Danio rerio: one gene and its partner. The protein of the gene in region 2 binds, or shares a complex with, the protein of the main gene of each other region. Links are inferred from orthologs where the notes say so. Each region holds a gene or a part of one and is shown on either strand. Other genes may lie near its edges.

Region 1 (3,822 bases), on a different chromosome or scaffold from region 2:
TGTTATTTTTAAGTAATAGTACACCTTGATTAACTGGTACAGAGGTCAAGGTTCCGGTGGTTGATCTACTGATAAATGCAGCTGCACATTACCTTTCCTGGGTTCGTAAAGGGCTGCTTGTGTGGACTGGTGTTGGAGGTCCTGAAATATCAGAGGGTGTTGAATATGGAGCATGTGGATGCATCCGCCGGAGGGATCCATGGGTAATATGATTACGCCATCCTATGCTATCTGCACCAGGGCAATCTGATAATGATAGGGTAAAGACTTGTAAATAAATTTGATCATGCACAGATGAAAATGGATGCAGACGAAAAATATACAGTCTTTTTAGCATGCTTTCAAAAGCTTCACTAATAGTCCAGTACTCTGCAATAACTAATTAGAGTTAAACTGAAACAACTTTACCAGTCCTCACCTGTATTTGAGTCAGAGGTGAAATGCTGAGAATGGGGGTCAGTTTGGTTTTCTGTAGGTCCACTGGCATGGTGCACCGGGCCGGGGCAGGAGGCAGATGGAGGCGGAAGAGGAGACGTAGACTCAGACTGGTAACCCGAGGCATATCCTCGACTCTCTGAGGGTGAAGGCTGGTAGGGGGAGCAAGGGCACGTCTGGTGTGGTGTCTGGTAGCCACTGGAGCTGCTGCTGTATTTAAGATCCAGATGGGCATGAGAGTGAGAGCGGGAGGGTTCTGGGTATGCAGGATGGCCTGCTGGGAGTGGATCAAAATTAAACGCAGGTAATTCATGACCGTGGGGCCCGTATGGGGATACAGTAGCCCTTCTGTGCCAGTATTCAGCCTCACGTTCTCTCTCCCACTGTAGTTCTGCATCTCTGTCTCTGTCCCAGTGAAGAGACATCTCTCTTCCTCTCCTTAGTCCTGGCTCCCGCTCCCATATCTCTGCCCCTCTCTGCATGTCAGCCTCTCTTGTCCGTCTTAACCCATTATCCCGGTGAAGCTCTGCCTCTCTCTCCCAGTGTATTCCATCCTCTCTGTCCAAACGTAAAGTGTGGAACTCTTCTCGTCGTAGAGCACAGTCTCGACAGGGGCAGCCGGGTGTCACTAGGCCATCTATCATCATGACATCATGGTAGGGTCCGCTGGGTTTGGGATGGTGTGAATGATTGTGATGATGGTGAGGATATGAAATGTACTCATCTGGTCTACAAAGCAGTCGGGGGGACAGACTGTGTGGATGAGAATTGATCTCTTGGGATGGATATGGATACAGGTGGCGAGATGGTCCCTCTGAACAAGTGCGATGCAGGTAGTGCTGTGGACCTTGCTGGCGGTCCCAGAGCAGGTCTGGAGGAGGAAGGGATTGGTGAGGATGGGTGCTGTGATGTTGGCAAAGTCCTATGACAGATGACATACCTGGAGACAGAGCCCCTGTGTGTCCATTAGTGGTGGTGGGCCGATCAAGGCAATGGCCATTGGGTAAATGATGAAATCCATTACATCCAGGCTCAGCACAACCCTGAGATCGGTAACCCACACGACAAGAACATGAACGGCCTAACCTCAGAGACCCAGTTCTTTCAGGAGGCAAGGAATCACCATCATCCAAAATAGCCGTCTCTCGGTCACGGTCTCTCAGTCCATCGCCTTCAATCCCACCCAATAGCCGCTCAAGCTCCTCCCTCTCTTGCTGAGTAGGCGGGGCCGGTCGAGTCGGTTCATCGAGTCGATCAGGAGGAACAGATGAGTGTCCGGAATCAGTGCTAACAGACAAAAGCTGACTTGGTCTTTCCTCAGAGCTTCTTGCAGGGCTTCCATTGGTCGATGGCAGAGAGGAGCAGCCAGCAGCAGCGCGGCGCTTTTTAACCTGTGCATACAAGCTGCCATCTACAGGGCCACGTGTATGAGCAATATCTGGAGAGAAGTAATTGCAAGATCAATATTTGATGCATAAAATAATTTTAATAATCTATACTTTATATACTTTGATTCCACAATTTTAAGTCATTATGAAATTTAAAGTCTACATTTATTGAATTAAAAATATAGTAAAAAACATCAGTGTAAAATATTATTTCAACCTATTAAACAAATTAAACTAAATGTTTTCTGTAACACTTTATTTTAGGTTACAATTCACAGTAATAATAAACCATTAACTAGCCCTACTAGTTTAATAAACTACTAATTAGTAGTAATGGGAAGTTCCAATAATTTTACTGACTCTGACCTTTGAGTCTTGTTCATTGAGATGAATGAATCTTTTTTTCGAGTCATTTTGTACAATTTGCCAAAATATTATTAAATGTTACGAGTTGCTTCCAAACTCATCTACAAGCTCGAACGTTGATCACACTACAAACATGTCAGCTCACCTTTTCTGACAGGTCTTCAAACTAGAGTGATTCGTTCATGTCGTGCTGACAGTCCCATATACGCTTAACCAGAGAACACAGTCCAAGCCGAATAAAGCCATGATTAGTTCACCTTTTGAGTCTTCTGGTTTTTAAATTATTCGTTCATCACGTCACATGACAGCATGTAAAAAGAGATGACTCAAACCCAAGGGCTCGAGAGATGAATGGATCAAATCTTCTTCCGGCTCTTAATGCATATGATTGGCTTCTGTCTTTCATGTGATGAACGAAGGACTCAAATCGAGGACTCGAAAGATGAACGGATCAAATCTTTTTCCAGTACTAAATGCATATGATTGGCTTCTAACCTTCACGTGATGAATGAAGGACTCAAATCGAGGACCAGAGAGATGAACGGATCAAATCTTTTTCCAACTCTAAATGCATACAATTGACTTTTGTCTTTCATGTGATGAACGAAGGACGCAAATCAAATACTCAAGAGATGAACGGATCAAATCTTTTTCCGGCTCTAAAGGCATATAATTGGCTTCTGTCTTTCATGTGATAAACGATACTTGAAAGAAGACTCGAAAAAGCAACTATTTTTCTACTCCACCAGCACAAATGTGCACACGCGCAAATGAAACAAATCACTCCCTGAGAGGACTCCTCCCTGAGTCAGACAAAAGATTTGCTTAAAATGAACGAATCGATCAAGAACGACCCATCACTACTAATTAACTGTTTATTATTAGTTAGCAAGCTAGAAGTTAGGTTTAGGTTTTGGGTAGGATTAGCGAAGCAGAATAAGATCATACTTTATAACTACTAATGAACTTTTAATATTGAAATAACAGACGGGTAATAAGCCAGTGGTTAATAGCATAAGTTCTGAACTAAACTAAAGTGTTACCATGCTTTCTACCTTATTGCTTTTTAAAAATGTAATTTAATAAAATGCTGGCTGAATTTGTAGCAGCTATTACTCATTTTCCCATGATTTCTCAGAAACCGTTCTTGTATTCTGATTCTGGAGTATTTCAACAGTTCTACTGCTTAGTAATTGTGTTGAGCTAACTGGTTTACATGAGATTATTAGTCTTTTGCAAAAGTAAAACTTTTATAGACAATTTCATGCTGAACAAATGCATATATTTATTTTAAAAAGCCAAATGTATTATAAAACAGTACGTTCCCTCTGAATGCTTGCATAAATACCAGTGTGTGGTTGTATGAATGAATAGTAGTACCCTCTAGGCTGTCCTGATGCCTCTGATTGAAGTTCTCATATGAGTCCCAGCGCACCACTGGATCATTTGTGTTATAGTCCACACTGACAGCTGGATCATTCCTTTGGCTCACTCTCCCTGAATAAAACACACACACATAATGTGGCCCTGTCATTTTAATGGAAATTCTGCACATTAGCTCAAGGAAGAAAACTATTTGTCAAACAATGTCATGGTCCCTGAAAGAGAAATTAAAAGGTTAGTAAGATCATCT
Region 2 (3,822 bases):
GTACATTGACTTGCACATATTGTGTATACACACATAAACACAAGCTAAAGGATCAGCTGCAGATAACAGGGATTAATCAAGGCCTCTATCACCAGGTGGGGGCTGTTAGAATTCCTGTGGCGCATTCCACTAGGAATCTGTATCCTTCAAGTATCCCTTGTTATGTAAGGAGAGCCGTTCTGACATGCTCTCTCACTCCCTCCCTGTGCCTTAATTCAATGTGCTATATTGGCATGATAGCTTTCCACAGAGTTCTTCCAAAGCTTTAAACTGCTACAGGAATAGTTTAGTTGAATTGCCAATAAGAAAACATAAGACTACTCGGTTAGCGTGTCTGTTTGTGTGTATGTATGAGTTTTACCTGTTGGCTCGAGTAAGTGATGCTTCAACTCCAGAGTCACATCTTTCACGTGAGCTGAGTGTCTCATCTCTTTCTGCTAATGGGTTTCCAGTGCTGTCCTGGTCGCTGCCATTCTCTGTCTCTTCTAAGCGGTTCTGCAGTGGAGATGATGGACAAGGAGATGCAGAGTCAAGGGCTGAATCTGAATCTCCTTCCTCTTCCTCTTCATCCTCCTCCTCTTCCCCAATTCCTGTTTCTGGCCATTCATTGACCAGTTGCTGCAGACCTCTGACTCGCTCTAACACATCCTCCAGTTTTGGTTCCTCCTCTCCTACTTCGTCCTCATCATCTCCCACTTCCGAGAAAGGAACATTATCATAGATACTCATTCGACTGTCTAGTGAAGCAGAAGAGCCCCTCCGGGGTGGGCGGCGACTTGTGTTGTCAACACCATGATAGGATCCTCCATCCGCAAGTGCTTTAGGAAAAGTGCCAGGCTTGTGGCCTTCAGGCAAATAGAAAAAGATCACACCTCCTTCCTCTACGCGACTCTCTTCATCCTCCATTTGCCTATTATCTGAACTCTGACGGTTGCGTCGATTGTTCTCATCAGTTGAGCTGGGCTCCTTCCTCTTATTTTGGGTCTGATGGTTCTCCTTTACATCTTGGTCTTCAGAAGGTTGCAGCACAACAAAGTTAAATGGGTCAAAACCTTCCAAGTACATCCCACCTCTCTTGCTGGACCCGGCTGCTGTGCTGTGACTACGTGCTCTTGAAACTGGACTGGGCGTACTTACAGCACTCCCACTGCTAGCTTCTGATTGGCTACTCCCTGCACTCCCACTGCTTGTTTGCGTTGAATAGGAGATGCTTCGATTTCGGTTTGCATTTCGATCCAGAGTTGCGATGTCAACACAGTTGAGCCGACGCAGCTTGTCTTCATCAAGACCCTCCTTAAGCACTGGCCCACTGATCTCCAACCTACCATGCCCAGGAACACCTTTCTTCTTGCGCTTGGAGCCTGCATTGCTACTGGTGCGTAGACGTAAACTTTCCATGCGTTTTAAAAAGCTCTTTGCTCTTGACCGTGTGCTTTTTTCAGCTGCACTACTTATCAAGTTTGGTTTTACATCAAAAGCAAAGGTACCACGTTCCAGGGGCGATGGAAGCCCATCAGACATGGAGTCTTCATTGGCACCTGATGTTCCAGAAGAACAGACACTGGCAACTGAGCTTGCTCTTGTTGTGGTGGCTGTATTAGCATTGGAGATGGTTGTAGCAGGACTGGATGGTACAGTGGTACTCAGTGATCCTCCTCGACCTCCACTACCAGTACTATGCAGAGATCCCACCTCTGGCTGCTCGCTAAGGTCCGTTAAGATGCTCTCCACACTGGCATTAACACCCTCCTTTTGAAGGGGCCCTCTAACAAAATGCTCATCTTGGGATAGGAATGCAGCGAAGGAGCCAGTGTCCCCTGCAGTAGGGGAGAATACATCAAGGTCCAGCTGGTCCATGCGAGACCAGCGCTTGCTGTCTCGCTGGAAAGTCCAACGGCCACTTATGGCACATGGCTCATCCTCATCAGAGTCTTCACTCTGAAACGATATGGAAAACAGTTATGTCAACACATTGTGTCAAACATGATCTGATTAATTTCCTTAATTTCATGAGGAATTGATCAAGCTAGGTCATATTCCTGAAACCTGGTTCCACTAACTGAAAAAAAAAAAAAAAAAAAAAACTTTTATTGTGGTTGGCTTAGCTATGTCACAGCACAGTCACATGCACACCATTCCTCCTCTCTGCTTTACTCGGGTTAATCTATCTCCTCCCTCAGGGCGGTAGGGATGGAAGGAAGGGGGTGGTGGACACAAAATTCCAGACCAGCTCTCAGGGTTCACACCCCAGCCTGAGAGGGCAGGTCTGGTCCCATCCCCCATCAATGCAATCACCTCAAGCAAGCCTGGAGAACAACATATACTGTGATGGACTTCTGGACAAAGGAATTAGATGTGTCATATACATGTTTTGCTGTAATGCTGGATCTCTGTTATTAACTTTAGCTGAATAGATTACAGCCCAATAAAATTATATAATTTTCTAAAGTTAGTTAATCCTAAAATATAGAATTGGTTGACAATCGCACCTAGTTGAGTTAGTTGATATGAGTTTAGCTGTTGAACAGACTTTTTGTCCTGGAGCCTTGACTAATCAGCAAAAGCAAAACTAGCTAGCCGGTTAACAGGGGGTCGCGGGATCCAGAGGTGTCTCCTTCACGGTTCATAATAACGGAGGCGACGAAAGTCCGTAAAACCTGGGTTGTTATTTTATGGCCCCTGAGGGCAAGCCTTTGATCAGAAGAAACGAAGACCTGGAGTGCAACGTTTCTTCACTGCCCACCACAAAATCCACTATTAATTCAAAAAGACGGTTTTGACTTTAAAATAAGCTGCTTGGACAGGAAGATGAGGAACAGAGGAGGACTCTAGAGAGGCCACCTGAACAGATCAGTGCATTCCAAGAATGGTTTCTGCTTGTATGTTTGAAAAGGGCAGATCACTTCCTCAAGTCATCTCCTGACCTCTACCTTTGACTCCATCAACACAAGATGACACTAAAGGGTCATCAGCTTTCTTAACAGGACGCACACTTGACAAAGCTGTCATTGTTCAGACTTACTAGTTTTAAGAACAAGAAAAAGAAGCCGCAGTGAGACATGACGGTTATCTTCCTAAGCTCCCTGTTGTGATTACATAGTTGGCTTGTTTGTTGTTGCATTCTAGACCTGCATGTAGTTTGAGTCATGGCTTTGGGGCAGTCTTAGACTATACACACTCGCTCTTAAACCACGCCGACAAAGCGGCGGACTGTGCATTCTCTTCCTTTTATGGTGTTGAGGGGGTTTTAGGATGCGCATTGTGAGAAAAAACATGACAAACAAGAGTAAAGAAAATCAAAAGAAGGAGAGGAGTTAACGACAACCCTTAATTAGGACATTCTGCACTTCCTCATAATTAACCATCATGCAAAGCAAACAAAAGGTTAAGGCTCTTAGGATTTCTGACTGGACATAAGAGTGAAATAATTCAGCAAAATAAAGGGAAAGGGGTTTCTGACAAAACACTTACTCTCTTTCTTTGAGGGGTGATCTCTAATCTCATAAGAGCGCACTTGTTTAGGGTGTTCAGTCTCCTGCAATACACACAAATGCAGATAAGTGAGTAAAACAGTCACAGTCATTTTTTCAAGCAGATGCATTGAAAAGGACCATGGGGTCACAAACAAAGGCTAAATCCAGTCATTAGCCAACAAACAGACTTTTCCAGAGTCAAATCCCTGGACAGAGACAGAAAGAGATAGGGGAGAGTGAGGGGGGTGGAGCAAGAGATAGAGATACAGAAGAAGACAGAAAATGATGAGAAGAAGATGAGAGAGGCGGCAGTCAAGCCTGATAATGAGCTGCTGAGGGATAAACTTCA

The links.
Region 1: the proteins of dlc1 (region 2) and tns2a are in contact, whole or in part, in an NMR structure (PDB 2LOZ), measured with the Homo sapiens proteins. The link is inferred for Danio rerio from reciprocal best matches to the Homo sapiens genes DLC1 and TNS2. Residues at the interface, in NP_001335010.1 of Homo sapiens: Glu811, Asp812, His813, Lys814, Pro815, Gly816, Thr817, Phe818, Pro819, Ala821, Leu822, Thr823, Asn824; in NP_736610.2 of Homo sapiens: Asp1268, Leu1269, Leu1270, Arg1271, Gln1272, Gly1273, Ala1274, Ala1275, Cys1276, Lys1317, Ser1319, Ala1320, Gln1321, Thr1324, Leu1387, Asp1388, Pro1389, Asp1390, Gln1391, Val1403, Leu1404, Leu1405, Gly1406.

The regions. Positions count from the first base shown.
Region 1 is NC_133198.1:10,676,647-10,680,468, reverse strand, and holds part of tns2a (tensin-2), read right to left. Parts: intron 3,687-3,822; coding exon 3,570-3,686; intron 1,874-3,569; coding exon 419-1,873; intron 247-418; coding exon 93-246; intron 1-92. UniProt on the Homo sapiens protein: Tyrosine-protein phosphatase which regulates cell motility, proliferation and muscle-response to insulin. Phosphatase activity is mediated by binding to phosphatidylinositol-3,4,5-triphosphate (PtdIns(3,4,5)P3) via the SH2 domain.
Region 2 is NC_133176.1:16,801,195-16,805,016, forward strand, and holds part of dlc1 (rho GTPase-activating protein 7), read right to left. Parts: intron 3,536-3,822; coding exon 3,472-3,535; intron 1,939-3,471; coding exon 362-1,938; intron 1-361. UniProt on the Homo sapiens protein: Functions as a GTPase-activating protein for the small GTPases RHOA, RHOB, RHOC and CDC42, terminating their downstream signaling.